4 linked regions of the Tamandua tetradactyla genome follow. The protein of the gene in region 2 interacts with the protein of the main gene of each other region in a pairwise test. Links are inferred from orthologs where the notes say so. Each region holds a gene or a part of one and is shown on either strand. Other genes may lie near its edges. The genes, in order: MED25, ESR1, PNRC2 and TRAM1.

The links.
Region 1: the proteins of ESR1 (region 2) and MED25 interact in a two-hybrid assay, tested with the Homo sapiens proteins (2 studies listed by BioGRID). The link is inferred for Tamandua tetradactyla from reciprocal best matches to the Homo sapiens genes ESR1 and MED25.
Region 3: the proteins of ESR1 (region 2) and PNRC2 interact in a two-hybrid assay, tested with the Homo sapiens proteins (2 studies listed by BioGRID and IntAct). The link is inferred for Tamandua tetradactyla from reciprocal best matches to the Homo sapiens genes ESR1 and PNRC2.
Region 4: the proteins of ESR1 (region 2) and TRAM1 interact in a two-hybrid assay, tested with the Homo sapiens proteins (2 studies listed by BioGRID). The link is inferred for Tamandua tetradactyla from reciprocal best matches to the Homo sapiens genes ESR1 and TRAM1.

The regions. Positions count from the first base shown.
Region 1 is NC_135342.1:11,337,231-11,345,141, reverse strand, and holds the start of MED25 (mediator of RNA polymerase II transcription subunit 25), read left to right. Parts: upstream 1-4,597; 5' UTR 4,598-4,984; coding exon 4,985-5,271; intron 5,272-5,366; coding exon 5,367-5,412; intron 5,413-5,676; coding exon 5,677-5,801; intron 5,802-7,911. UniProt on the Homo sapiens protein: Component of the Mediator complex, a coactivator involved in the regulated transcription of nearly all RNA polymerase II-dependent genes.
Region 2 is NC_135328.1:143,353,821-143,361,299, reverse strand, and holds the start of ESR1 (estrogen receptor), read right to left. Parts: upstream 3,139-7,479; 5' UTR 2,993-3,138; intron 1-2,992.
Region 3 is NC_135328.1:202,313,853-202,321,250, forward strand, and holds the start of PNRC2 (proline-rich nuclear receptor coactivator 2), read right to left. Parts: upstream 3,195-7,398; 5' UTR 2,879-3,194; intron 1,894-2,878; 5' UTR 1,688-1,893; intron 1,359-1,687; 5' UTR 1,341-1,358; coding exon 933-1,340; 3' UTR 1-932. UniProt on the Homo sapiens protein: Involved in nonsense-mediated mRNA decay (NMD) by acting as a bridge between the mRNA decapping complex and the NMD machinery. May act by targeting the NMD machinery to the P-body and recruiting the decapping machinery to aberrant mRNAs.
Region 4 is NC_135332.1:114,504,080-114,512,098, forward strand, and holds the start of TRAM1 (translocating chain-associated membrane protein 1), read right to left. Parts: upstream 3,195-8,019; 5' UTR 2,930-3,194; coding exon 2,807-2,929; intron 1-2,806. UniProt on the Homo sapiens protein: Involved in the translocation of nascent protein chains into or through the endoplasmic reticulum (ER) membrane by facilitating the proper chain positioning at the SEC61 channel.

The sequences.
Region 1 (7,911 bases), on a different chromosome or scaffold from region 2:
TGGGGAATGTAAAGAAGGATTTTATAAAGCTTAACAGTAGCTAATTTTTCTTGCTTAATTTAGCTATTTACATATATTTTAGCTTCTGAATGGTAGAAATATCCAGCAAAAGCATTTGTGTCATTTTATATTCACTGCTATGCATTTGGTGTGAGTTAAGAATTGTAAAGAAAAGAGTTATGGGCCCCATCAGGTTAAGAAAAACAACCCGGAACTTCCCAGGGGCGGTTATCTGCTGCCTTGGTTATGCAAGGTTATCTGCTGCCTTGGTTATGCAAGGTTGTAACTGCCGGAGGAAGTTTATCTAAGAATGCAACTGAGAAGGTTGAGTAAGGGAGTTTTGCACAACGAGACAGCTGCTTCTTGCATGAAGCAGCTCCCATGACTCATGCGTGAAAAATGTTTGTTATCTGCTTCTTGCAAAATGTTTGTTATCTGCTTCTTGCAAAATGTCTGTTATCTGCTTCTTGCATGAAGCAGCACCTGTGACCCATGCTCGACCCTCACCCCCCTCCTCCTACCCCTTAAAAGCTTCCCCAAATCCAGGCTCGGGGCTCTCTGTTCCTGCATGTTCAGTGAGCCCCACGCATGTGTGGTAAATAAACCCCTTGCGTGTTGCATGAGAGAACGTCTCTTGGAGTCCTTTGCGTGGCAAAACTCTCGAATTCTTACAATACGCCTTAAAGTCAGGTAGTGTGAGACCTCCAACTTCATTTTTCTTTCTCAGGATACTTTTAGCTATTTGGGGCACCCAGCCCTTCCACATAAATTTGGTTATTGGTTTTCCTATTTCTGAAAAGTAAGTTTTTGGGATTTTAATTGGTATTGCATTGAATCTGTAAATCAATTTAGGTAGAGTTGACATCTTAACCAAATTTAGTCTTCCAATCCATGAACACAGTATGCACTTCCATCTATTTAGGTCTTCTGTGATTTCTTTTAACAATGTCTTGTAGTTTTCTTTGTATAGGTCTTCTGTCTCTTTAGTTAATTTTATTCCTAAATATTTCATTCTTTTGGTTGCAATTGTAGATGGAATTCATTTCTTGAGTTCCCCCTCAGATTGTTCATTACTAGTGTATAGAAACACTACAGATTTTTGAGTGTTGATCTTGTAACCTGCCCCTTTGCTGTACTCATTTATTAGCTCTAGTAGTTTTGCTGTGGATTTTTGGGGGTTTTTGACATATAGTATCATATCATCTGCAAACAGTGAGAGTTTTACTTTATCCTTTCCAGTTTTGATGCCTTGTATTTCTTTTTCTTGTGTAATTTCTCTGGCTAGAACTTCCAACACAACGTTGAATACAATGGTGATAGTGGACATCCTTGTCTTGTTCCTGATCTTAGGGGAAAGTTTTCCATTTTTCCCCATTGAGGATGATGTTAGCTGTGGGTTTTTCATATATTCCCTTTATCATGTTGAAGTTCCCTTCTAATTCTATCCTTTGAAGCGTTTTCAACAGGAAAGGATGTTGAAGTTTGTCAAATGCCTTTTCTGCATCAATCGAGATGATCATGTGGTTTTTCTGTTTTGATTTGTTGATATGGTGTATTACATTAACCGATTTTCTTATGCTGAACCATCCTTGCATACCTGGGATGAATCCTACTTGGTCATGGTGTACAGTTCTTTTAATATGCTGCCGGATTTGATTTGCAAGAATTTTGTTGAGGATTTTTTGCATCTATATTCATAAGATTGGTCTGTAGTTTTCTTTTTTTGTAATATCTTTGTCTGGCTTTGTTATGAGGGTGATGTTGGCTTGGTAGAATGAGTTAGGTAGCTTTCCCTCCTCTTCAATTTTTTTGAAGAGGTTGAGCAGAATTGGTACTAATTCTTTTTTGAATGTTTGGTAGAATTCACATGTGAAGCCAACTGATCCTGGACTTTTCTTTTGGGGGAGCTTCTTAATGACTGATTCAATTTCTTTGTGATCGGTTTGTTGAGCTTGTCTATTCTCAAGCCAATGTTGGTTGTTCATGTCTTTCTAGGAAGTTGTCCATTTCATCTACATTGTTGAGTTTATTAGCATAAAGTTGTTCATTGTATCCTCTCATTACTTCCTTTATTTCTACAGGGTCAGTGGTTATGTCTCCTCTTCCATTTCTGATTTTATTTATTTGCATCTTCTCTCTTCTTTTTGTCAACCTCTCTAAGGGTCTACCAATCTTATTGATTTTCTCACAGAACCAACTTCACCTATTCTTGATATTTCCTTTGTGCTCGTTGATTTTTGTGATTGGGTCTAGTGTAGGCTGCTTCCAAAATGTCTCTCTACATATTCACTCTCTTGTGTTATTCTCTCCCTTTGGCATGCAAGGGGACCTATGACTTGCTTCTAACCGAGTATTGCAAAGGTAAGGAGAGTCTATAAAGACCATGGCTTATGTCTTGCTTCCACTTTCTCTCTTCCTGACATTTTCTTTTGCCCTTTTGCTTGCTTTGATAAAGCAAGTTGCTCTGTTATGGATTTTGCAATGAAAGGTTTGCATGGTGAAGAACTGAGGGTAACCCCTGTCCAACAGCCCTTGAAGAACTGAATCCTGCCAATAGTTACGTGAGTGAGCATGGAAGCAGATCCTTCCCTGGTTCAACCTTGAGATGACTGCAGCACCAGCTGACACTTTTATTCCAGCCTGTAAGATACCTGGAAGCAGAGCACCCAGGTAAACTGTGTAGGGATTCCTGACCAAGGGAAACTGTGAGATAGTAAATGAGGTTTGAAATCACAATGTTTGGACATAGTTTGTTACATGGCATGCGATAAGTTAGTGCCCTTTATTTCTTTCACTATTTGGAACTTTATGGTATGTTATGAACTGGGCCATCCCAGCATGTGGGGCCCTTGGGGTCTACATCTACTGAGTGTGGCTTCTGTGGACTCTTGCTTATATTTCTCACCTCTGGCTGGGGATCTTTGTGAACTTGTTACTTGATCGTGATCTGAGTCCTCTGTGTAGGATTTACTCCTGTTTCTGTGAGTCATCAGGAATGCATCCCACATGGAGCTGCTGTAGCGGCCTGCCCTGGAAGGTCCTGGTTTAACTAGACAACCAGACTCAGTTGTCGGATTCAAACTGTCCTCAGTTCCTGGAGACATCGGTGCAGGCAGTTTTGCCCAAAAAACCAACACACAACACCCCTGCCTTTTTGTTTATTAATTTCTAGTTCTCTCTCTCCCTCCCTCTCCCTCCCTCCCTCCCTTCTTTGGGGAGAGGATCCTGGAAGAATACTCCTTCCTCTTATGAAACGACCAATATCTTAAAAACAGTTTCGTCCGCCTAGTCCATCATAATTCCAGAAGTCTAGTCTAAAATACTTAATCATTAATTTTACCATTCTTAATACACATATAGAAAGGCTTAAAACTCAATTATGTCAACCAATCAAGCATTTAACCTATCTAAAGAAAAGTTGCCTTATGAAGTTAACAGGGCAGATTTTAATTTCAGGTAACATTTAAATACTTGTCTTACCTGTTGATCATTTTTCCTTTCTCAATGTTACTTTTATTTCCTTTTAAAAACTTGCTAGAAATTCAATCATGCTAGCATAAAAAAGGAGTGGACTGTCCTAGATGAAAAGAAACATAGGAGTCATAATGTCTAAATAATATGTGAGTCGCCGTTGTTCGGAGACTGACTCAAATAAAACAATTGTAAAAAGACATTTTGAGAGAATAGGGGATATTTGATTATGGTGCTAGATGATACTGAGAAACAGCTGTTAATTTAGTCAAGAGTGTAATTGGAAAGTGGTTATGCAAAAAAAAAAATCCATACATGTTTAGAAATGCCTGCAACCACATAGAGGTAAAATGATAGGGTTTCAGGGATTTGCTTTACGAAGTTTCAGCAAAGACAAAATGGATGGATCAAGTAAATGTGGCAAAATGCTGATTCTTCTGCTGTTTTCAAAGGGAATGCAGTTTTTTGGCAGAAACATATATCGCCAAAATGCATTGGAGCAAGTCGTCCCGTTTACATTCCCACAGACAGTCTGTGAAATTGTTCCTTTTACCCAAATTCTGCCACCTCAATGAACATCCATATCCTTTCTGATATTAATTACCACCACAAAAGCAAAACGCTATCTCACCGGGCTTTCTGTCAGCACTTTTTAATCGATGAAGACAGGCAGCTGTCATATTTTTATTGGCCATTTTTAATTTCTCTTTGTGTAAAGGCTGCTCAGGCTCTTTCCCATTTAAAAAAAAATTTAAAATTAAAAAAGACTATGTCCATTTTTCTACTTTTTTATCCATTCGTAAGATTCATTTGTGTAGTAAATTTTGATTCTCAGGTATGTTGCAAAGACGTTTCCTGTATATCTTCCAAACATGGCATTGTTTCGGTGGGCAAAAATATGCCAGTATTTTAAGTTTTCTGTCTTCGGGATGATGCTAAGAAAATCTTGGCCGGTTTTCAGAATGATACAGCGCGTTTCTTTTTCCTTCGGATATTTTTATGGTTTCGTTGTTTACATTTTTAATCCACCTGGAACGTATTTGTTTTGGGGCCAGTTTCCGGCTCCCTTCCCAGCAAACAACTAGCAAGTGTTGCCTAGCAACTTCCACCGGGTTAGGAGCTCGGCTTCTTTTCGGGGAAAACAGCCTCGCTGGCTTCCAAGTTGTTTGCAGCCTTAAAGCGTTGCCGAGCGACGCCCATTTCGGACGCTCTGATTGGACCATTCACCCATCCTGCACCCGCTGGAGAGAATGTAACTAGAAACTTAAATCTCCCTGTTGAACACAAGGGCAGCGTACGCGTCGCATAGCAACTAGGTCTCCTCACCAGCCCAGGGAGACCAGAGTCGGAAACAGCGGTGCCCCGCTCAAAGATGGCGGCCGACGGAGCCGCTGTCGCTGTGTTTTGTTCTGGATGATCCAGTCCCCTATTCGCTCTCCCGCACCAGGCTCCCGAGATGGCTCACTCTGTCCCGTCTGGGTCTCTCATCGGGTGGTTGTGAACGAGGACGGGGATGGAACCGACCGCCCTGCCTGCCCTGTACAAGCATGGCCGCCGGCGTATCCCCAGCGGCTCGAAGCCGCCCTGCGCGGATGCGCGCGCAGTTCAGCGCACTTCCGGTCATCCCGCTGTGGCGGCGGTGGCTGTGGTGGCTGCGGCGCGGGCTATGGTCCCCGGGTCGGAGGGCCCGGCCCGCGCCGGGGGCCTCGTGGCCGACGTCGTGTTTGTGATCGAGGGTACGGCTAACCTGGGTCCCTACTTCGAGGGGCTCCGTAAGCACTATCTGCTCCCGGCCATCGAGTGAGTGCCGTTTCCGCGACTCCAAACCCGCCCTCCTGCTTTAGTTTTAAATGGCCTTTTGGCTAACCTCGACTTTTGACCTTTGGCCCTGATAGGTATTTTAATGGTGGTCCTCCTGCTGAGACGGACTTCGGGGGAGACGTGAGTCTCGGGACTGTTTGAGTGTGAGGGAAGAGGGGGCTGGGGGCCCAGACTCCCAGGTCTGAGGGAGGAGGTTCTGGGGGTCGGGACTCTGGAGTCTGACGGAGGAGGAGACTGGGGGCCCGGATACCTGGGGCTGAGGGAGGAGTGGGGTGGAGGCCGGGACTCCGGGGTCTGAGGGAGGAGGCGGCCGGTAACCCAACTTTTCTGAAGGATCAGGGTGCTGGGAACTCAAGTTCAGATTCCTCTGTCCTTTTCTCCCAGTATGGGGGGACCCAGTACAGCCTCGTCGTGTTCAACACGGTGGACTGCGCTCCCGAGTCCTACGTGCAATGCCATGCTCCCACCAGCAGCGCCTACGAGTTTGTCACCTGGCTCGATAGCATTAAGTGAGCTTCTTCCCTGCTGGGGTGGGTTGGGGTTCCCATGAGGGGCCATGAACTGGCCGTGGCTTGGAATTGAGCTTCAGGAACCATTCATTCCCATTGGCTAGTTGAAAGGACTCAGCGAGGAAAGATCGCGTGTTGGTCCCATAAGGCACCTCTGTGGCGGGTTTTGTGAGATCGTCACTGCTTTGGATGGAGACAGGTTTTGCAGCCAGAGAGTCCTGGTTGAGCTCCAGATTCCACTTCATGTCCTTCTGTGCCTCCCCTCCTGTTTTTCTCTTCTGGTTCCTGTCTCCTCCAACCCTCCTTGTTCAGATAGGCACATTGAAACTTTAGTACAGAAAGCTCACACCTGTGGCATCATAGATCCCCCTGGGTTTAAGTCAGAGTGTACTAGTTCATTGGAGTTTGGCACCTGGGGTCCACCACCTAACACTCAGACCCAGGAATCCCTGCTCCTCTGGACCTTGTACAGTTCATCTCTAAAAAGAGATATCAGGATATTACTAGACTCTGTTTTACTTACTTATTGTATTACTTACCTACCACCATGTTCAAAATCACCCTAAAACTTAATGATTTAAAACAACAAGTGTTTATGGTTCGGTGGTAGAATGCTCGCCTTCCATGCGGGAGACCCAGGTTCGATTCCTGGACCATGTACCCCCCAAAAAAGAGAAAACAGAAGTGACTTAGCTGGGTGCTTCTGGCTGGGGGTCTGCTTGAGACTGTGGTCAGGATGTCAAATGGGCCTGGAGGATCTGCTCCCAAGCTGGCACACTCTGTGGCTATTGGCAGGAGGCCACAGGTCCTTCCCACAAGGCCTCTGCCTGGGGCTGCTGGCATGGCCTCCTAACATGCCAGCTGGCTTCCCCCAGCTCTGAGCAATCCAGCAGAGAGAGCAAGGAGGAAGCTACAAGGCTTGTTAGGCTTAAGCCCCAAAAGTCACACCCATCACTACTGCCACATTCTCTTTGGTGCACAAGTTAGTCCTGTCCAGCGTGGGAGGGGACTGCAGTAGGGCATGAGCTCCCAGGGGTGGGGACCATTGGAGGCCACCTTGGGGCTAGCCACCACGACATCACAGGGGCACTTTGAGAATTTTAAATGAGTTGAGAACTGCTTTGCAAACAGTGTTTGGCCCACGTGAAGTGCTATGTTTGTGTGTGCTAATATTTTGTGCCTGAGTTTCCTGGTTTATAAGTGAATCTTAGTGCTTTTATGACTGGGGTCATGGTATTCCATTTCTTAGTGCTGTTGACAGGAGCTCAGGGGCTAATCTTTGCTCTGGGCTTAGCTCAAGTTCTGATCTGGTCTGGTATTAAATGGCTATTTAATGGGCTATTAAATGGCCCCTGTTTTAGCTGCTGTTTCTTTTTTTTTTTTGCATGGACAGGCACCGGGAATCGAACCCGGGTCCTCTGGCATCACAGGCAAGCATTCCTGCCTGCTCAGCCACCGTGGCCCAGCTGCTGTTTCTTGTTAGCGTTGTTCAGCCTTGTTTGTTGAGTGTCTGCTTTGTTTCAGGCTGTGTGTGCAGGTGTCGAGCCTGCAGTGAAAAGTAGACTCCTAAGCCTCCCTGTTGTGGTTATTAGAATTAGTCGTAAGTATAGAATGAGGTTTCTTAACCTCAGCATTTGTGATGCTTTGAGCCAGAGTGGTCTTTACTGTGGGGGGTGTGGGGAAGGGGCGTGCATACTGTGCACTGTAGTGAGTTTGACAGCATCCCTGGTCTCTCACCTACTGGTTACTGGTAGTGTAGCTGCCCAGCCCCACCCCCTGGGATGTGACAACCAAAAATATTCCCAGACTTTGCTAAAGGTCCACTGTGGGGGACAAAATCAACTGTGATTGAGAAGAAACACTGGTCTAGGTGGTGGGAAGATGTGAACAGCGTTAAATGGAGGCTCCTTGAGGCCTGAGTCTAGGTCCAGTGCCCCTTGGGGCCCCAGCACCCAGCACAGGGCCTCCCACAAAGAAGGCCTGAGGGGAACTCTGCTGAATGAGTGAATGAATGAATGGATGCCCAGAAGGCACTTTAGACTCTGCCACCCTTCCTGGCCGGCAAACTCCAGTGTAACCTTCAAGACCCAGGGAGGCCTTCCCTGATTCC
Region 2 (7,479 bases):
TTGCTATTATCACCTCCTCATGGGCTCGACTACATGTTAAGGGGACAATGAAGAAGAGATGGCCGTGGGTCATTGACATCAAGTTAGGTTGCAAAGTTAGCAGCCAACTCATATGGGTATTGACTAAGAAACTGAGGAACAATGGAGCAGAATGCTTTCTTTGATATGAAAATGAATATGAAGCATCTCTAATAAGCTTTTAATGTGCTCATCATAGCAAAAACTTTGCCTTTTTGCTGTTCTGCTGCTTTTCTCATGCCAAAGGGATATGACTATCCTTATAATCACAGGGAGAGGAAGAATGGAGGGAAGGTTGTTGGAGGTTTGCATACTTTCTGTTCCAGCACTTCATGTCCATTACAAAAGCAGCAGCATTTCAACCCCATGGAATACTCAGTTATCTGAATTCACTGTTCTTTTTTTTTTTTTAGATCAGCTACCCATTATTGCCAGATGAATGCAAATCTTCCATGAGTTTCACTCATTCATCCATGCAACCCATGTTTATTGTATATCTCATCCTAAACCAGAACTGGAATAAAAGCAACTTCCACATATCGAAGACTGTAAGAATTATTTCACAGGTAGTTTAATCTCATTTATTCCATATAATTATGCCTGGTAGCTACTCTTATTGTCTGAAAAAACACTTCTGTGTCAGAATCACACAGCTAGAAAAATGTTGGGGACCTATGGCATGGATTCAATTCAGCTGGGCTCTGAAGCTAAGTTGTCACTCATGAATGGAATCCTCACTAAAAAGTTATCTTCTGTGGAAAACCTGATCAGAAGTATAAGCTTTTTAGAGAAATATTTGGAGTGGGAGTGGGGAAGGAATGGATAGTGCAATCCTCTGCATCCTCTGAGTCACAGACTTTGATAAATAAAAAACTTACATCCCTTAGAAAGAACCACAGAACACACTGTTGTGTAAGGTTTTGCTGCTGTGGTCCAGAAGGAATGACCTAGGGTAGGCTACTGAGAGATTGCCAAGAAGGCAGACTCACCATCATCACCATCAACTTCATCAAAAGCCACCCTTAGATTACTGCCTTAAGGGTGTCTCTCAGGGACTAATGACAGAGAGGCCAATGGCAGGACCTTGTCTCAACTACCATTGATAAAGAATGTGCTATGAGTGTTTTACAGTGTGGATGACCTACTCTGAGCTGGGTCACCCTCTTTCCTGCCTATTTTTCCTGCCAACCAATCTGTAACCGCAGAGTAGAGATTTCTCTATGCAAAGCAAACTGACACTCCATCTCCCAGACCTTCAGCTCTGGCAATTGTACTGGTTAACTAGGTTAAATAATACAGGTAAATATCTACCAAGAACCATGTAAAAATGTTTCGCAGGCACCCAAAGTAAATTTACTTTGTAAATTTATTTTGTATAAAGGCTTAGAGTGAGGATTTGGAGGAGGTAGCAAGCTCCAGATCCTAAACTAAATGAAAGATGCAGAGTTAAATGAAATAAGAAAGTTGTTTGACTTTGTTTCTGCTTCAGGTTTATGACCTATGTGCTTTATACCTCCCTTACCTGTCATAAGCAATGAAACAAAACAAATATCTCCAAGTGTCTAAGAAATATATCCCACTAAGAAATACCCTGACCTTTATATTCAAAATCTAGCTTCTCTAAATCTGCCTGTTTCCAAAACCCAAATCCTTTATTGTTCCCAATGTCTTTGAAAATACAGCAACTCTTAGGATTTTATATCCATGCATTTTAAGGCCCAATGGATGGTCTTCGTATAATATTATCAATTGGGGTGAACGTTTGGTTTAAAGAAGTACAAAAGAATGTTCTAGAGTGGAAATTGGGCTTCGAATTTTCAGAAGTTCCCAACCAACTTCATTTCTTTTAGTTCTCTATTCAGTTCAAATACCTTCACCTCTTAAACACAACTTCACTCTCAATACTAATATATGTATCTGTGTACATCAATGCATATATACATTCAAAACAGGAGAAGTTTCCAGCAACCTTTTGCTTAGAGCTATTCTGTAAGTCTATTCAATCTGGCCCATAAAGCTATTAGAAATCTAGGACCTTTGAAGAGAAATTAGTGCCACAATTCTAAGTCCTATAATGCCCAGGCCTTTATCCAGCGTTAAGTATTTTTAAAAAAATCATGTCAGCTTCTATGGGCACGTCTGACAGAACAAAATCTGGTGACCTTACTGACAAAACGTGAAACCTAAAACTTAACAAATACTTCCTGAAACGTGGGACATTCCTCTAATCAAAATGAAAGTATTTTGTCCCAGCTTTTTTGACTATCACATCGTTCGCGATGGAGCCACTAATGCACGCACCACCCTGCTACAAAACAAAAACTAGCCTATCTTTTCCACAGAAGAGAAAACTGAGGCAGCAGGACTCAAAATAACTTGTCTGAAACCATAGGGTCATTGAAACAGAGGGTAGCTCATCCTGGTATTGCTAGATTGTGTAGCTCTTCAGAAAACTTTACTGCCTCCAGGAAACAAATAGTGGCTTGTTCAGATTGCTGCATTCAAATTCGTGTGAGTTATAGCACCAAAGATGAAGAAAACAGGGAGTATGTTCACGCTAGTCAGTGATCAGATCGAGAACTGGTAAGATTCCGACACACTAACAATAGAGAACCTTACAGTGAGAGGAGTCCAATAAACATACTTTATCTGGGGCAGCCAGGCAGCCTATCAGCGCAGAACTGAAGAGAGGACTCGCCTTGCCCTCTGACTCAGCTGAATATTATTCCAAAAGTGAATTTCCACTGTACCAAGTTTAGATTTAACGTTTTAACACCGTAGTCAGACTTGCCTACAGGGACGTTTTGCTTTGCAAAGGCTTTGAAAAATATCCCTGGAGCATTTAGAGAAAAATGAACGCCTTTTAACGTGAGAGGTAAGCTCTAAAGTTACACTGTGCTTGTAAACAGTAGCATATATATAGCAAAAACCAAAAAAAAAAAAAATTAAACTGAGAAGAAAGAGGAGTACCTACTTGAAGAGAAGGCTGTCTTCTCGTGTTACTGAATGGACAGGAGGAAGGAGTGTTAATCTTTGGAGCCGTTAGGGAGCTTCTGAGCCTGGAGCCTGCATTTTCAGTTTTGGAGAAATCCGTTCTGAGGCAGTAGACAGGGGGCCGTTATGATCATGAAATTAGGAAATGCAGCAACTCAAAAATAAAGAACTAGCACCACCATTTGACTAGGACTGGAAAATCTCCTTGAAAAAAAATAGAGGAGGGGGTGGCCTTGGTTTCAGCCAGCTAGGCCTGATGAACTTTCGCAGCACTTCCTTTAAGATCGATATTTAACAAAAGATAAGTGATGTGTTCATCTGCTTGTAAAATTTTTATGCAATCTGGTCGATTGAAATTTTTATGCAATCCAGTCGGTTTTCTCTTTACTTATAATAAGGTTTGAAGTCTAAACAGGAGTGTCTAGTTGGAAAATATATATACAGCATTCATTCAGCACATAAATGCTTAATCCAAAATTAGTTACAGCTAAAAGTGGAAATGAGGACACATATTCTGTGAGCATTTCTTTAACTTTCTTGCTTAGCCGTGGATACCTCAACATGCTCTGCCTTCCTGGTCGTTGATTAATTAGGTTTTTTACTGCACTAACCTGTACAGGTTTAGCTTTTCCGTGCCTCTGAAGCCCTTCCCTCTGTCAGATGATCTTACCCTAAACTTTTCAGGCATTTCCTACAGCAATTTAAGTGTTGATTGATTGTTTTTTTGCTTGTTTGGTTTTTTCTTTTTTACACTGAGACATTGTCTGAAGTAGAAAATGGGCTAAAAAAAAAAAAAGAATAGTGAGGTGCGATGGTGGTTCAGTGGCAGAGTTCTCACCTGCCATGCTAGAGACCTGGGTTCCATTCCCGGTGCCTGCCTGTGCAGGAAAAAAAAAGTGGAAAATCTGCTTCTGATTTATATAGCGTATATTTTTAAGGTTTTTGTTTTGTTTAGTTTTGCTTTTTAGATATTAGCTTTTCTAATCAATTAGACTTGGTCTTCCGAACATGAGAATGGTAGGACGAGAAGGTGAAGGAAGAAAATCTTTTGCCATCTGTTGGGTGAGGTGTGTCTCAAAACTGGCTTAGTCTTTCTCTGGAAGCCAACTCAGCAAAGTATATTCACTGCCCTCCTTTCTATATGGGACATGACTCCCAGGGGTGTAAATTTTCCTGGAAATGTGGGACAGGACTCCTGAGATGAACTGGGACTTAGCATCATGGGATTGAGAAAGCCTTCTTGACCAAAAAGGGGAAGAGAGAAATGAGATAAAATAAAGTTTCAGTGGCTGAAAGACTTCAAATAGAGTCAACAGGTCTTTCTGGAGGTTATTTTTATGCATTATATAGTTAGCCTTTTTTAGTTTTTAGTGGATTAGAAAAGGTAAAATAAACACCTCAAACTGTTGAGCTGTATTCCAGTAGCCTTGATTCTTGAAGATGATTGTATAACTATAAAGTTGTTACAGTATGACCGGGTGATTGTGAAAACCTTGCGATGACACTCCATTCATGGACAGATGAGCAAAAAATTAAAGGACCAAAAATATATAAAAATAGGAGGAGATAAGAGGTATGGGATGTTTGGGGTGTTTTGTTTTGTTTTGTTTTCATTTTTATTCTTATATGTATTTTTTTGAGTAATGCAAATGTTCAAAATTGATTTTTTTGATGAATGCAGTACTATATGATGATATTGTGAACCACTGATTATACACGTTGATTATATGGTATGTGAATATCACTCAAAAAAATTGCATTTTTAAAAGAAACTGGCTTGGTTACAAAAGAAAAACAAAACTCTCATAATCAACACCTAAGAACATTTTTAGGGCCTTTTTTTAAAATTTTTAACTTTTTTTTATTGTATAGTATAACACATATACAAAGCAAAGAAAGAAAAAAGTAATAGTTTTCAAAGCCCTCTTCAACAAATAGTTACAGGACAGATCCCAGAGTTTGTTATGGGCTACAATACGATCCTCTCCTATTTTTCCTTCTAGCTGCTCCAGAGTATAGGAGGCCAGAGGGCTTAAATTTTTTTATCATCACAATCGACATTTTTCCTTCCTTTTTTTGTGAAAAATAACATATATACAAAAAAGCTATAAATTTCAAAGCACAGCACCACAATTAGTTGTAAAACATATTTCAGACTTTGACATGAATTACAATTTCACAATTTCAGGTTTCTACTTCTAGCTGCTCTAAAATACTGGAGACTGAAAGAGATATCAATTTAATGACTCAGCATTCATATTCATTTATTAAATCCTATCTTCTCTGAATAATTCCACCATCACCTTTGATCTTTCCATTTCTCTCTTTAGGGGTGTTTGGGCTATGGCAATTCTAAATTTTTGATGTTGGAAGGGTCTGTCACTAATATGGGATAGGGAGATGTTCTGATGTTCTGGAGAAGCTGGGCTAGGTGTCAGGACTTATCTGGACCAGAGAACCATCTGGAGGTTGTAGGTTTCTGGAAAGTTACTCCAGTGCCTGGAATGCTTGTGGAATCTTACATATTGCCCTAGGTGTTCTTTAGGATTAGCTGGAATGGGCCTGGTTGACGGTTGGCAAGTTATGATAGGTAGCAATGTCTACCTGAAGCTTGCATAAGAGCAACCTCCAGAGAAGCCTCTTGACTCTATTTGAACTCTTCCTGCCACTGATACTTTATTAATTACACTTCTTTTCTCCCTTTTGGTCAGGATGGAATTGTTGATTCCAGGGTGGCAGGTCTGGATTCATATGACCCTGGGGGTCATCTCCCATGTCGCCAGGGAGACTTTCAACCCTGGATGTCATGTCCCATGTAGGGGAAAAGGCAATGATTTCACTTGCGGAGTTGGGCTTAGAGTGACTAAGGCCACATCTGAGCAAGAAAAGAGGTCCTCCAGAAGTAATTCTTAGGCCTGCCTATAGGTAGTCTAAGTTTCTATTCTATCTGCATATACTTCACAAGAGTAAGCCTCATGATCGAGGGCATGGCCTATTGATTTGGGTGTCCTTAAAGTTTGACACAGTATCAGGAAATTCCCTAATGGTAAGGTTTAATAGTTCCATATTCTTTCTCCCATCCCTCAAATGACTTTGCCAATACTTTCTGATTATCTGTTTAACATACTCTAACACCTAAGAACATTTAAAAAGAAATGATCTTAAGGACCTTTAAGCAATCCTCTCTAAACTTATGAGTTAGCCCACACAATAATTTGAATATGCAAATTTACCTGAGATTAATGTCCCCCAGCATGCTTACAGCAAGAAAGATTTTAGCTAACATAAGAAGTTTTAATTTTAATTTAACAAACATAAACTTTCCACAAGATGTGCTAACAAAAGGAATAGTCATGTATACTAATGCACTATTGGGGGGTATTTGCTTTTATTATTTTATTATGATTTCTGGTAGAAAGTAAGTTATTTAATAAACATTTGGATAGTTTAAACTTTTCAAAAACAAAATGCTTTTATGTACATGAATTAAATCTCTCAACTATTTTATTTTTCAGAGTGGATGAATTCTGTTTTCCAAATGGCATTTAGCAACCTGCAAAAATCGATTATAGACATGAATACAGAGAAGAAAATCATGGGGCAACACTTGCCATAACAGGACATCCATTGGGTTCTGAACTAAAGGTTATAGATCGTTTTCCTTTTATAGGAAAATTTAAATGTACAATATAAAATTTTAATTAGATTAATTGCTCTCAAGAGACTACTGTCATTTATTTGCATTTTAATATGGGCTTTCTCAAGTGGGAAAAAATTAAAAATTATAATAATTAAAGTAAAAATGATAATATTTTCTACTGAGTATGAGGTATCAGGTGCTAAGTATGTTCACAGCAACCCAGTGGGGTAGTGTATTAGTAAGGGTTCTCCAGAAAAACAGACCTGTAAATATAAGATTTACAAAAGTATGTCATGCAACCGTGGAAATGGAAGAGCCTCAAATCAATAAGGCAGGCTGTGAGGCTGGCAACTCTGAGGAATGGTCTAGATGAACTCCACAGGAGAGGCTTGCTGGCTGAAGAAGCAGTGAAAAATTCTCTCTTCTTCCTTAAAAGTCTTCAAAGATTGGATCAAAACCAACTGATTGAGTTATCTCATTTGCTGGAGACACACTCTTAGTTGATCACAGATGTAATCAACCACAGATGCAATCAACTGACTGATGATTTAATACACCAGCCTTCCAGTTTATCAACCAGCCATGAAATATCCTTGCAGCAATAGTTAGGCCAGCACTTACCTGACCAGACCACCGACCACCATCACCTGGCCAAGTTGACACTAGAACCTAGCCATCACAGGTAGGGACTATCAAAGCCTATTTTATAGAAGAGAAAATGGTGGAAATCAAGATTTAGTATCCCTAGCAAGACTTCATAGTGGGAGCCAAGATTCAAACTCAGGTGGTCCAACTCAAGAACCTGTACTTTGAACACATTCCTGCAG
Region 3 (7,398 bases), about 59 Mb from region 2:
AAGCAGATTAATCTGAACCTTTAAAATCAGGCTATAGTATAAAAAAGTCCATGGTCTTACATTCATCAAATTCATACTAAAATACTCTATTTTTGTTGGATAAGGACCAACAAAACTTTACATATGCTACAAGTTTATTATATGTATTTACATGGCTCTTCCCTAGATACATAAAACTCACATTATACAATTCCCCACTTAGCGCCAACCTCTACAAGGATGATTTGAGGCCAGATCACTCACTGTCAAGTTTGTACAGAATACAGAAAATGTATTTTGAAAGCTACTCAGTGACCACCAAATACTGTTTCTATGAAAAATGGTTTGGGAGCATTTACTGGCAGACACCTATTCACTGTATGTGAGAACAGGGCCATTGGGGCGTAGTGCACCTCATTCTAGTAAGCCCCCAAGTGCCCTTTCCACATGAACCACTGTAAAATTTACTACAATGTACTTCACTACTCATTAAGGAAAATTCACATTTTCTCTTGGCAGTGCATCAAGTTGTTGGTACTTGTTCAGGTGTTTGTAGGACATTAAACTTTCAAGTATTTCACTAGTTCTTGATCTCTGTATGATCTTAGCTAGATGTCTGGAATCTGATTGACTAGCTTTCAACAAGTAAATCTATTCCATGTATGATAATTCCCAAAAAAAGCATCCGAAAAAGATTCCTTTGTTGTTTTCTAAATCTAAACATACATGGTTTCACTTCTTTATCAATTAAGAACGTCAAGTGCAATCAACAAATTATTTTAAGTTGCACTGATAGTACCATTACCTCATAGTGCCCACAACACACAAAACAAGTGAGATAAAATCTATTCATATTTTCTACATTAGCGGTTTTACACAAATATAAAATAGATGAATGTTTCAGACCAACTGACTAGTCTTAAATGTGATGCCTAAATTTAAACATTAGTATTTTATACCTGCACTTTAAGTAAGGTTTTAAGTTGAAATGTCATTATTTCCTTATCAGAAGGATTAAAGGAAACAGGAACCCAGTGGCTTGGTGGTTTAGGAAGAACACTTGGTGATGGTGGCTCACTAAATTTGGCTCCAGCATAGTTCTGACTAGTTTGAGATTTAAAAAGTAAGCTGGAATTCCAATTCTGATTATTTGGAAAATGTACTTTGTTCTTCCCCCCATTTTGCATGGCCTGCCATGCAGCTGCTGATGAGTTATAACTATGTCCTCTTTCTTTTTTCTTATGAACAATCTTCATCTGGGAATTCTGGTCCTTGGTCTTCTGTCTATTATGTTGTTGTTGGTTCTTACTAACATTTCTAGATTGGGGAACTGGAATATTATACCTCTCTCCACCACCCATCTTCAGGTTCTTTGTCACCTGCAAATTAATGGAAAACAAAATACTGAGTAAAATTCCATTAAGTTCACAGTTGTTTTTTATTTTTATTTTAAAAAGGGGGGGGGGAAAGCTGCTATAGCCCCAATTTGTAATTCTGAAGTCTTGGGGGCCTAAATTATTAGCTGCTTTAACTCAAGTTAAAGGAGGGTATTCAGAATTCATTAAATGCATACCCTTTATTACCTCCCCTAAGAAAAATAAGCTTATCCACAAATCCGAATAACCCTCTATTTTAAAATGAAAGCAATTGGTTTAGGATTTGAGTTCAGCTAAAATGTCTGCCCAATATAATTCTCTAATTTTTGTACCTTTCAGTCTGCTTTTCAGATTGCAGGATTTCCACTACCAGTCCCCTTCCTTGCTGCCAAGCCCAGGATAACAGGTGTTGCCTTCTGACAGATCCTTTCCTTTGTTTGAATACAGAAGTTTTCATGGGCCGATCTGCTGAGTTCAGCCTAGGAGCTGAGGCCAACATCTGAGTTTCCTCAGCACACAAGTTTGAGAGAAGTCTTAGCTAGAAAAGCAAAGATTACTTAAATTCAGTAGGAAAAAGTGGTCATTTATATTACAGAAATAATTGTAAAGGATGGCCTATTTCCTTAGAAGTAGAAAATATGTTCCCCTAAAATGGCTTTCTTTGATTTTGTAACTACTATCATGAACTCTTCTCTTCGAGATCTAGGACCCCCCTGGAGAATTCTTAAAAGAGTGTCTGTAAGTCAAGCAGTTAAGTTCTGTTTGTGTATCTTTTTCCCTGGGAAGTGCCTTTTAAGATTCTCACAAGGATTTTGTGACCGGAAACGTTCAAGTCAAAGTTGGAAAGTGTTAGCCTTAACACTCCTACCAAGAAATTGGCTTAATGTTAACTTCCCAAAGTGAGTAAGATGTTAAAGCCCACCAGAATTCTCCAGTCTTTCAACACTCAACATAAATGCATACCCTTTATTACCTCCCCTAAGAAAAACAAGCTTATCCACAAATCCGAATTTTACACAAAACCTCTTTCAACATGTCTACATCAGTGTTTCCTTTGCTTATGAACACACTAGACTCCCACTGCTTTTAAAATAAGTATTCAAAAGCAAAACAATCTAAAACGGTTTTCAATCTTCAAAAACGTAAATATACCTCCCTACTGGGACCATTTAACATTGCAGGTTTCATTTTTTCATTTAATATACCATGAAACCAAATTAACCAACAAATAAGAAGTCCCTTTCTTTTCAAGAGTTAAGACAGCCTTCCAGGCATTTTTTATAACTCTATAATAAACTACGATTCCCAGACACTGCGGCATTTACAAGTCGAACCCGGAAAACTCGGGTCTTTCGATGCGGAGCTTGGCTTCCAAGTAGCTCCACCTTTCTCGAGCCCCAACCCACGGGCCGCGTCCCTCCCGGCCGCCCGGGTTCCAAGCGTCTCTCTACTCGCCTCCTTGTCCCAACAATGGGGAGCGCAGGCACCAACATGGCCGCACCCGCGGCGACACCACTACTCACCGACTTCAAGCTCAAGACTGCGACAGCAGCGGATCCTATTAGGTGATGAAGCCTCACTCCCCTTCCAGGGAGAGACGAGGCAAGGAACGAGCAAAGCCCGACAGCACCGACCAACTACCTGCTGAATACCACAGTGTCGGACGACCAGACCACCCCTTTCTGCCTCTACCGACAAAATGGATACCCAGGCAGGCGCAAGAGAGGGGCGGGAGGCTTCGCGGCCAATCGAGACTCGAGGGTGTGGGGTTGAGCCAATGAGGAGCGGGCAGCCGCCTGTTGCTGGGGCAGGACTGGAATGAGGGAGGAGAGGTGGTTGTTGCCGAGGGTTTGAAATCTTTCCCGAGAGGAGCATGTCGGGAATAACTGCTCCCTACCGTAGCGGTTGCCGCTTCCCTTCCCGCCGGCTGCTCGCTGCCTTGCCCGCAGCCCGGGGTACGACCGCCGGGTTCTCGCGGCGCCTTTCTGAGGCCTCGACGCCGCCGTCCGGACGCCGGGCGCAGCCCAAGGGCCGCGCTTTGCCCTCGGTGGGCGCTCGCGCCTGGAGAGGCCCCTCAGCGTCTGCTTCCCTCGCGGGCGCCGCCGCCCTGACCATTCGGCGCGCCTGTTTTTCCACTAACCCCCATGAGGAGTGACTGAGGGATGGTTAGTTGGTTCCCTAGTTAAGTGCACTCAGCCATGTAACCTATTTTTTTATATATGGAAAACATACAAAAAAAGTTTTCCATGACCGAGCCCCAGTCCGCGTGTCCGGCCTTTGCTCGGGACACTTGTCTTCGTCCTTTCCCTCGGTTCTGGGAGCTTCTTTGCCAGTCCCAGAGCACGCGGTTCCCTCTGCTCGCAGTTACCCCCAAGTTACCTCCACTGTGAAGGCGTTTGACTCATGCACACAAGGTTATCAGTCCCTTCTTTGTGTCCCCACTGTTCCTTACCTTTTTATCGCACCTTATTGTTCTTGCAACGGTGTGTATCCACCTGGCTCCCCGACCCCCCAACACATCTGCATATACCCTTCGAGGAGCAAACCCAAGTTTTTGTTTTTTGTTTTGTGTGTGTGTGTGTGTGTTTTAGCACAGTGTCCCCGCTCACTGTAAATGCACTATAAAGGTTTGCTGAGAAAACGTGACCTCCCTTATTTCCCCTTCTGTCCCGTTTTTACTTGAAAAAGAGATCAGAAGATATGTCACTCAGCTGAACGTAACAGTGAGGTGCAGGGAAGGGGAAAGGACAACTTCTTTGGAGTAAATGTATAAGCAACCCAAACTGTTTTAAAAGAGGACCCTAACTTCTATTTGTATGAATAATTCTGGGATAAATGGTCCAAAATCCTTACCTTTACACTCGCAGTTCATACATCTGTGAACTTTTTTGTTACATAATTTATATATACTGACCTTTTATAAATCCCACGTAATTTGTGTTTTAATCTTTAATTTTTTTGCTACTATCACCTCTTATCCACCAACCCAACACAAAACCCCGTGTTCTAGCTGTGGATCTTAAGAAGAGTTACTGTACCTTAAAGAGGAATTCATTAATCAAATGAACAGTTATTTTGGGGTAGGGGGACTTTCTGGCTCTAATTATATTATAGTCAAATAAGGTGTACATGGCAAATCAGCTGCTAGCTCACTGTAATGTATTTCTCAGAAATTCTGGAATCTTATTTAGATATCCAGCCAGATAATAGCAATGGCGTGTTTAATGGGTTCAAGACTTTGATCTCAGGAAATGCCCTTAGAATATATATTTTAATATAATGCCTTGTAAAATAGTCTGTTTCAGTCTGCACATTTTTTCCTAATTCCTTTTTTATCAACATCAAAATATGTCTTTCAAATTTACTCCCTCTATACTCACACCCCTTCTGGTTTCTCCCTACCCCTCCATCCAGCTGAATGTGTTAACAATTTAAAATTCATTCCAGTTTGTTTCAAATGTTCTGTATTCTAGAATAAAGTCTAAACTCCAAACATTTAGAAAATTATTCAAAGCCATCACCATCTGAAATTCGTCTTTCATTTCTTCAGTAGACCTCTGAATCTTATCTGTATAACCAGACATTTTGAATACTTACTCTGCCCTAAGCCCTGCCCTATATGGTTTTGCTTATATCTCATTTAATTCTCACAAAAACCATTTGGGGTGAGTACTATTTTGATCTCCACTGTTCAGAAAAAGAATCTGATGCTCAGACAGTTTAAAGCTGGGAGCCACACCCCAAGACTCCAGAGTCCAGCTTCCATGTTCCCTACAGCATCTTTGTTCTCCTGTAGCTCAGCCGGGCTTTGTCCAGACCAGGCACTGACTGAACGTTGACGGGGTTGCCCGGGCTGCTAGGGCAGTATCAGGGCCCCACCCTGCAGCCGGGTTGGACCAAGTTCTCTGCCAAAAGAGCCGAGTCAGGCTGCCCTGGGGAGAACGCTTCCAAAGCCCTTACTGACTCCCAGACTGTGAGCACCTGCTAAGCATAGCACCAGCCTCATCATTCATTAATCTTTCGCAAGAACCCCCAATAGCCCAGTACTGGAGAACAGCAGTTCAAGTAAAACCCTCTTCAGAACATCTGATAGAGCCTCTGCTTGTCGCAGGCTGGTCTTTTTTTTATTTTTTTTTTAATTGAGAAATCTCACGTACATACTGTCCATACATGGTGTACAATCAGTGGCTCACAATATTATCACATAGTTGTGTATTCATCACCACGATCATTTTTAGAACATTTGTCTCGCTCCAGAAAAAAAGTAAAACATATATCCCATACCCCTTACCCCTCCCTCTCATTGACCACTAGTATTTCAATCTATCCAATTTATTTTACCCTTTAACCCCCCTATTATTTATTTATTATCCATATATATATTTTTTTAACTCATTTGTCCATACCCTGGAGAAAAGGAGCATCAGACACAAGGTTTTCATAATCACACACGTTATAAAATCTATATCATTATACAATTATCTTCAAGAATCAAGGCTACTGGAACACAGCGCAACAGTTTCAGGTACTTCCCTCTAGCCACCCCAACACACTACTAACTAAAAAGGGATGTCTATATAATGTGTAAGAATAACCTCCAGGACAACTTCACAACTCTGTATGAAATCTCTCAGCCTCTGAAACTTTGTCTCATTTCTCTCTTCCCCCTTTTGGTCAAGAAGGCTTTTTCAATCCCGGCTCATCCCAGGAATTCTGTCCCACATTGCCAAGGAGATTTACACCCCTCGGAGTCATGTCCCACATAGGGGGGAGGGCAGTGAGTTCACCTGCCAAGGTGGCTTAGAGAGAGAGGCCACATCTGAGCAACAAAAGTGGTTCTCTGGGGGTGACTCTTAGGCATAATTATAAGCAGGCTTAGCTTATACTTTGCAAGAATAAGTTTTATAGGGGTGAAAGAGAAGATTCCCGCATTTGTTGATTGAGGGCTTGGTCTATTGATTGGTTGTCCTCCCTGCTTGCAAGAATATCAGGAATTCTCCAAATGGGAAAGTTGAATATTTCATCCTTTCTCCCCAATCCCCCAAGGGGACTTTGCAAATACTTTTTTATTCATTGCCCAAATTACTCTGGGATATATCAGGGTATCACACTAACCTGGACAAACCGACAAAATCTCACACCCTATTCAAGATTCCCTGTACTTATGGTGTTCAAGTAAACTGTCCATACAAATTGAATTAGGTAATACACTACCCAAAATATAAATTTTGCATCAAATAAACATCTCTCCCTTTGGTCTCGCACAGAAGTTGAAGTCTTAAATATGGACCATATCACCCTTTACCCTGTATTCTGATTTACCTTAGTCCTAACCAGATCAGCTTCATCCATATCTCTAGTCAAAGTCTCATTACTTTTTCAACTTTTTAACCAGGCCAATCTTTAAAGGTAGTTGCACTAACAGGATCCAATTCATGGTTCGTGGTTCAAATAGGAAAATGTTGATGCAAACAAACAGCTGTCAGGATGCTGATCAGCCACCAACATGGGGAGATAAATGCATAATAAATACATGAGTACTTAATATAAAGTATGTATTTAACAAAGAGTTATGTGGTGCCTATTTTGTGCCAGGCACTTTCCCAAGCCTTGGGGACACAAACAAGGCTCCATCAGGGTCCTAAAGGAACTTAAAAAAATGTTTCCTTTAGTATTTATCATAGAAGGAAGCTAGTATGATGGGGAGATTCATTCCCTCAGTTCCCCTGAGACTGAAAACAGGCAATGCCAATTGTGGGCATAAAAATCCATATACTAAGAATCCCCAACACCCACCACTTAGTAAGGTACAAGTTATAATGAAACGGAACCCTGCAGAATGGAGGGGAGAAAGAGAAGATTCCCACATTTGCTGAAATTTTTTACCATGGAAGAATCTGTTTTAAATTAAGTATCAGTGGGTGAGGAGCCATGATCAATAAAATCTGTCAAAACTTTTAAGTAAACATTACCTACCCAGCCTGTAAATAGGAGTGGGAGTGGGGGTGGGGGTGGGGGCAGGCAAAAAGAAAGTATTTCTGAA
Region 4 (8,019 bases), on a different chromosome or scaffold from region 2:
AGGATACAACCTAGAGTCTTGAACATATGGAAAGTCACTTCCTTCCAGAAAAGGGAAATAATCCTCTTGGGAACCCCTAACTCCACATCTACTATACCCTCACTTTCAGAAAGCCTCCCAAGCATCTTTATTTTCTATATCAACCTTTTCAATAATAATAATATAATCTCATTAGATGCTAACTGTTGGGCTCTTCTCTCACACAAAATGCTGTCTTCTATTTCCCAACTTTGGTAAATTTCCAAGGAATAATGATAGCTACTGCTTATTAAGTCTAACACTGAACTAGGCACTTTATTTATTAGTAAATTTCATTTTCAGAGTAACTCAATAAGCCCCATTTTACAGATAACAAAACTTAGGTTATGAGAAGTTCAGTAATATGCCGTGGGTCACCCCATCAGCAAGTTGCAGAGGTCCCTTTTAGCTTCAGAGGTCAGGATTTTATACTACACACATATTGCTGCTTCCTATTGACTAGTAATATAGTATGTTACTGCTTTGTCAATTTCACTATAAACCCTCTGACATTTCAACATCTTTATACGAAAGGCTTAACAATTCTACTGAGAAATAACAATTTCTGCATTATTCTAGATAAATACTGTAACTCTATAATTATATTAACTTTGAAATTCAGCAGCAAATATTCCAGAAGTTAAAACAGCTAAACTAATCTAGTTAACTTTTTTCCATATGTAGAAAATATGCTTTTAAATTCTAAAACTTTAACAAATGGTAGGAAAAATGTACAACTTGCACAAACTTTCCTCTTCCATATGCCACTTTAATGTGCCTTTTTTCAACTGACTTTCACCACTAATATCATCTGTCTTGTCAATTTAGATTTACAAAATTTAAGTCAACAGACTTACATTAAGATGAAACTCCACTCACTGTTAAAAAAAAATCATTAAGATGGGACATATGGTATAGGCAGTGAAAATCCCTAGAAATGTGATAAAAGAATGTGAAATACTTTACATAAAAGTAAAGCTATGCCATTTCTGTCATTTCTGATTTATATTCCAATCATTTGAAACATTGCAAATAAATTTCACACTTCTAAATTATGTTTTTAAAGTCAGGAATTCTTACCATGTGGGGATGGGTAATGACAAATTACACAAACTTGTTGAATACAAGTGCATGTACAGAAGTATTACTTTGAATACCAAAGCAGAAAGTGTATATAAATGTCAAATTTGGGCTCAGAAGGTTAATACAAATGTTCAGTGTTGCATTTTTAATAATGCCATCCTTCATACAGTATTTTATGAAGTGTCAGATGCTTTCACACATCCTATTATATGGTCTATGCAATGAACATAACACTGCATGTGAGAATAGCACAGGTGATGTTATCCTCCTTTGTAGAGCAGAAAAACTGAAGTGCAGACTTGGATCACTCAGTAAGTAAGTGGCACAGGTCCAGCCTAGAATGAAGATGAGGTGCATGTAACATATGTTTGCTCCCTTCTGCCTTTCCTTCCATTATACCTGCTACCTCCTTATCAGTGGTTTCACACATACAGGAGAGTTATCAGGAATAAAAATATCTAGATCCAGAGAAGCCCTTTGAAAAGAAGCAACCACAAATTAAAATATTTAATTATTTAATAATTAACACTAAAAAAATAGGCTTCATTCGAAAAATTTACTTTCTGTTACTGGAGTCTCATTCCATTCGTTTTCTTCAATTCTTCACTCATTCCACAAATATATTTTAAGCATCTACTATGTCCCAGACACTACTCAGGCTCCGAACAGAGACTAATGGAAAAAAACAACCTATTCTGAGAAAGGATAAACAAGGAAGAAGTTAAATAGTATTTTAATGAGGGATAGGCGCTAGGACGATAGAAATGGGCACGTGTATAGGGGAGACGGGAAAAAAATCCCTAGGATGTACACATTCACTTTGCAAAGTTTATTTCCCATATTCAACAGCTGTTACGAAAGTTATCCAAATACTAGATATGTGGGAAGAGAATTTACACACTCCTGACATTTCCACCCTCTCAAACTTGAATAACAGAAAGGAAATTATGTGACTCCTGGCACTGTTGTTCAGAACTTTGATTTATGGCTCAGACCTTAAATCTGTAAAGAAAAAGCAAGTGCCAGGGTAAAGGGTTGGATAACTGATGAAACGCCTGATCGGCAATAAAACCAGTTTGAGCGACCAGCATTAAAACAATCGGGTGTGCCCTTAGTGTGCCAAACCTGTGGCCATCCTTCCGTGCTATGCGCCACCGCCCTTCAAATCGGTGAAGGCGCGCGGCTCAGTCTGTTGCTCGTTAGCCCCCATCTCGGTCCTACAGGGGCCCCCGACGTCCCCAGGGCCTGTGGCCTCGGGGCCGGCGCCCTCCGGTCCCCGGAGGCCTGGCCTTCACTCTCCCCTCCCCTCGCCGGCCCCACGCACACCCTAGCGGTGCTCGGTCGCCCCCTCCACACCGCCCACCCGCGCAGAGCCAGCTCCACCGCCCAGGGGCCGCCCCCGCCCGTCCGCCGGCCCCTCGCTGGCTGCCACGTAGTCCTTCGCGGGAACCAGGAACTGCGCGGCGCGGGCGGCAGGGAGGGCTGCGGGTCGGCTGAGGGGGCGACGCGGCGGCCCCCAACCCACCCAGCCGGGGCGCCCAGGCCGGCGGAGGGTTAGCATCCCCAGCCCGGCCGCGAAGGCTGGGCAGGGCAGCACTTCAGGGCAAGACCGGACCAACGCCGACCCCCGGCCCGCGTCCCCCGCGGTCCGGGAACGGACCGGTCGGGGACCCGGGGAGGGCGGTTGGGTTCGTGGCGGGCTCACCTCGAACATCAGCCCCAGCAGGAAGACCATCGCCACACAGGAGACGATGTCCGCGTGATTCTGCAGGATGAATTCGTGGCTCAGGACCGGGGGGCTCTTGGTGCTCTTCTTACGAATCGCCATGGTGGGGCCGCCGGCCGTGCCGCAGGTGCTCCGCCCCAGCTCCGCTCGACCCAGCTCCTCACTGCCTAGCCGCCGCCCCCGCCGCCCCCTGGCTGCTCCTCACAGCCCCGCCGCAGCCGCTCACTGGGGCTCCACTTCCCATCCCACAACCAGTACGCAGCCGCCGGGGCCGCCCGGAAAAAAAAAAAGAGGCGAGCCCGCAGCGAGAGAGAGCATGCGCACCAGGGCGACAGGGCTTGCTCGTGCTACCGCTGCCGCTGCGAGCCCACAGCGCCACCTGGGCGCGGGAGGCCGCCTGAGGGAGTGAAGGAAATCCAGCCGCGACCCCCCTGCCCGGCGCTCGCCGGGGGTTGGGAGTCGTTTGTGGCGCGAGCCTCCCGCGCCGGGGGCGGGGGCGGCCTCTCGCGGTGGTGCGCGGGGCCCTAAGCCTGCCTTCCCCGCCACGCTGGATTGGGTGTCAGTCTTCTTTCCTGTTGACTGTCACTTTTTGAAAACCACTGCCACCGTTGAGATAATCTAAAAATACGACCGTGGCCTGATTACACGTCGGCACGGCTCATTCTTCGGTTTTAACATCTGCTTTAACCTCAGAAATATTTTAAACGCTCTTGGGAACTTGTCCTTAGGCTTGGTCTGGCGTTAAAAAGACAGAATAAAACTAGTTACTATTCGGGTCCAGCCTACCCACCCATGTACGTACTGCCACCCCACCGCCGGGGCACGGTCTGAAGGACCAGGGTGGTTCAGCTTGCTTGGTACTTGTTATTAAAAACACTTCAGTCATCAAGGGCGATGGGAAAAAAGGACTGAATTAGACGTCTTCCTCTTTCATCTCTGTGTATAAACCAGTACTCTATTCTTTTTTCTCATGAATTATACTGCCTTTTATCTCTTTTGTCAAATGCGGAAACCAGAGTCATCCAAGATTGATTTCCTTCAGCATCCTTCCACATCCAACTATCACCAAACCCAGGCAATTCCATCCCCTCGGGGGAGTCATCTCTTGCCTACAGTATTACAACTCTGGTGAAATCAGTGGTTTAAAAGCATGGGGGGTTATTTTATTTTTTACATTTTTAAGCATTTTTATTGTGAAATATATATACAAAACAATAAATTTCAAAGTATAATTTGACAAGTATTTATAAAATAGATTTCAGAGTTTGATACGGGTTACAGTTCCACAATTTGTTTTTTCCTTCTAGCTGCTCTAAGACACTAGGGACTAAAAAGAAATAATCAATATAATGATTCAGCAGTCATACTCCTTTGTTAAATCCTATATTCTCTGTTATAATTCCTCCTTCTTTGAATCTTCTCCCAGTCTTTAGGGGTATTTGGGCTTTGCCCATTCTAACGTTTTAAATTGTATAACATATATACAAAGCAAAGTAAGAAAAAAGCAATAGTTTTCAAAGCACTTTTCAACAAGCAGTTACAGGACAATTCCTAGAGTTTGTCATGGGCTACTGTACCATCCTCTCAGACTTTTCCCTCTAGCTGCTTCAGAATATAAGAGGCTAGAAGGAATAAATATTTTCTTATCATTACAATTAACTTTTTTTTTCTTTTTTGTGAAAAATAACATATATACAAAAAAAGCAATGAATCAAAGCACAGCACCACAGTTAGTCGTAAAACAGATTTCAGAGTTTGGTATGGTTTACAATTCCACAATTTTAGGTTTTCATTTCTAGCTGCTCTAAGGCACCAGAGACTAAAAGAAATATCAATTTAATGATTCAGCAATCATACTCATTTGTTAAACCCTACCTTCTCTGTATAACTCCCCCATCACCTCTGATCTTTCTATCCCACGCTTAGGGTATTTGAACTATGGCCATTCTAAGTTTTTTTTTTTTTCACGTTGAAAAGAGGTGGTAACAATTGCATTAGCTTGCAAGCTGCCGGGATGCAATACAGCAGAACTGGAACAGCTTTTATAAAGCATTTAATAAGTAACACATTTACAGTTCTAAGAAAGTGAGAGTGTTCACATTAAGGAACCAACAAGAGGTTACCTTCACTCAAGAAAAGCCGATGGGGCATCTGCTGGTCCAGTGCTCCTGGGCTCCATTGCCTGCAGCCTCTGTTCCTGTGGGGGTTCCTCATTTTACTTCTCCAGGGCTGACCCTCAACTCTGGACTTCCTTTGGCTCTCTCCACATTCAGGGTTGCTTAACCTATCATGGCAATGTCTGCTGGGTTCCACGCATCTCCAAACATCCATGCCTCTGTTCTCCACGTGTCTGCATCTGTGTCAGCTCTGCTGTGAAGTTTCTGTTAGCTCTGAGGTGTCTGTCATTTCTGACTCTCTCCAAAATGTTTCCTCTTTTAAAGGATCCCAGTTAACTAATCAAGACCCACTTGGAATGGGTGGAATCACATTTCCATCTAATCAAAAGGTCACACCCACAATTAGGTGTGTCACATTTCTGTGGAAATCATCTAATCAAAAGTTTCCAACCTAGAGTACTGAATCAGGATTAAGAGAAATGGCTGTTCCCACAAGGTTGGACCAAGATTAAAACATGAAATTTCTTAATTGCAAAGTTCCCTTGGAGGAATGGTGAGAGGCGGAAAATTCAACTTCCCCAAGTGGAGAATTCTTAATGTTCTCACAAGCAGTGGGGACAACCAAAGCAATAGGCTCAGCCTCCAATCTTGGGGTTTGTTCATATGAAACTTAACCCCACAAAAGATAGGCTAAACCTACTTAAAATTAGGCCTAAGAGTCACCCCCAAGAGAACCTCTTCTGTTGCTTCTCTCTCTCTCAGCCAACATGACAAGCAAACTCACTGCCCTCCACATCTCTACATGGGACATGACTCCCAGGGGTGTGGACCTTCCTGATAATGTGGGACAGAAATCCTATAATGAGCTGAGACTCAGCACCAAGGGATTGAGAAAACCTTCTCAACTGAAAGGGGGGAAAAGAGAAATGAGACAAAATGGAGTGTCTGTGGCTGAGAGATTCCAAACAGAGTCGAGAAGTTATCCTGGAGGTTATTCTCATGCATTATATAGATATCACCTTTTTAGTTAAGGTGTAATGGAGAGGCTGGAGGGAACTGCCTGAAAATGTGTTCCAGTAGCCATGGTTCTTGAAGATGATTGTATACTGATATAGCTTTCACAATGTGACTGTGTGATTGTGAAAACATCGTTTCTGATGCTTCTTTTATCTACCTTATGGACAGATGAGTAAAACATATGGATTAAAAATAAATAAATAATAGGGGAAACAAAGTTAAAATAAATTTAATAGATTAAAAAAAACATGACTTTTCTGAGGTACATAATATTTTCAAATGGGCACAATAATACAGGAAACTAGTTGGTGTTCTTGGAGAGGCTGGCCTTTCTGGGTTTCAGTACTTATTTGGCCTAGGAACCATTTGGAGTTTGCAGTTTCTGGAAAGTGAACTTAGTGCATGAAACTTTGTAGACTCTCAGATAGAGCCCTAGGTGTTCATTAGGGTTAACAGGAATGATGTCGGTTGAGGTTTGGCAAACCATGGTAATTAGCAATATTTAACTGAAGCTTGTCTACGAGTAGCTTCCAGAAAACTGTTTGACATTGCTTGAACTCTCTTAGCCACTGATGCCTTATTTTGTTACATTTCTTTTCTCCCTTTTGGTCAGGAAGGTGTTGCGATACCACAGTGCCAGGGCCAAGCTCATCCCTGGGAGTCATGTCCCATGTTGCCAGGGAGACTCACACTCCTGGATGTCATGTTCCATGTGGCGGGGGGAGGTAATGATTTTCCTTGTAGAGTTGGGTTGAGAGAGAGAGAGAGAGAGAGAGAGAGAGACCACAGAGAGGCCACATCTGAGCAACAAAAGAGGTTCTCTGGAAGTAACTCTTAGGCATAATTATAGGTACGTTTAAATTATCTGCTACAGAAATAAGTTTCATAAGGGCAAGCCTCAAGATCAAAGGCCTGACCTATTAACTTGGGAGTCCCTAATACTTGAGAGAGTATCAGGGTTTTCTCCAGTGTGAAAGTTTAATAGTTCCATATTTTTTCTCTAGTCCCTCAAGGAAATTTGCCAATACTTTTTAATTATCCACCCAGTATACTCTGGGATGTATCTGGGTATTACATTAAGCTGTACAGAAGTACAAGCCCTCATTCCCATTCTGGTCTCCACGTGTTTGGATTGCTTAAATGAGTTGTCCAGGCAGGTTGGGTTAGGTTGTGTGCTACAGAAAATTTAGATTTTGGAAAAATAAACCTCTCTTCCTTTGCCTCATATAGTAGATAAAACTCTAAAATACAGACAATAATATCTTTTGCTTTGTATTCTGATTTACCTTACCTCCCAACAAAATTGGCTTCATTCTTATATCTTATATCTAAAGCCTGATCTCTTTTTTGGTTTCTTTAACAGTTGTTGTATGTAGCAATGCTGATTTTCAGAGCTGCAGAACTCCAACTCTGAGTCTTAGGAGAGAGCATGGGCCTTTGGATCAGATTTCTGTCACTTACTGCCTGTACGATTATGGAGAAGTCAGTTAATTTCTATGAGACTTGATTTTCTCATTCATATATTTTAATACTAAAAAGTATCTATTGAGTATCTATTACATGGCTAGGTATGGGGAATACAGAATTGAACAAAAAGGAAAAATAAAACTATTCTTATGTGGTTTCATTCTAGTGTGGGAAGAGAATCTTTAAGCAAGATCTAAAAAATGAAATGTATTGAATTGAAAATGAGGGTCCATGAGAAAAGTAAAGCAGGAAAGGGAAATAGGGAAAGTGCGGTGAAGTTGCATTTGCCTGAAAACTGAAGGAGGTGAGGGAGCAAGCCATACCTATATCATCTATAAAATGGGGGTAATTGCTTAAACATGAACTTTAGTATTTATATGAAAATTCAAGAAAAGTGCTTAGCAGATAGTTAGTTAGGGCTATATATGGTTAACTGTTATTATTACCTTCCTTTCTGGTCATATCACTAGTTTCACTTCACTACGAATCACTTTCGAATTTTCATTCTAGAATGATTTTTCTAACAGGCTAAAAATTCTTCAGCAGTTTCCCTTTTCTTTCATTGAAAGACAGCACAACCAAATATCCCAT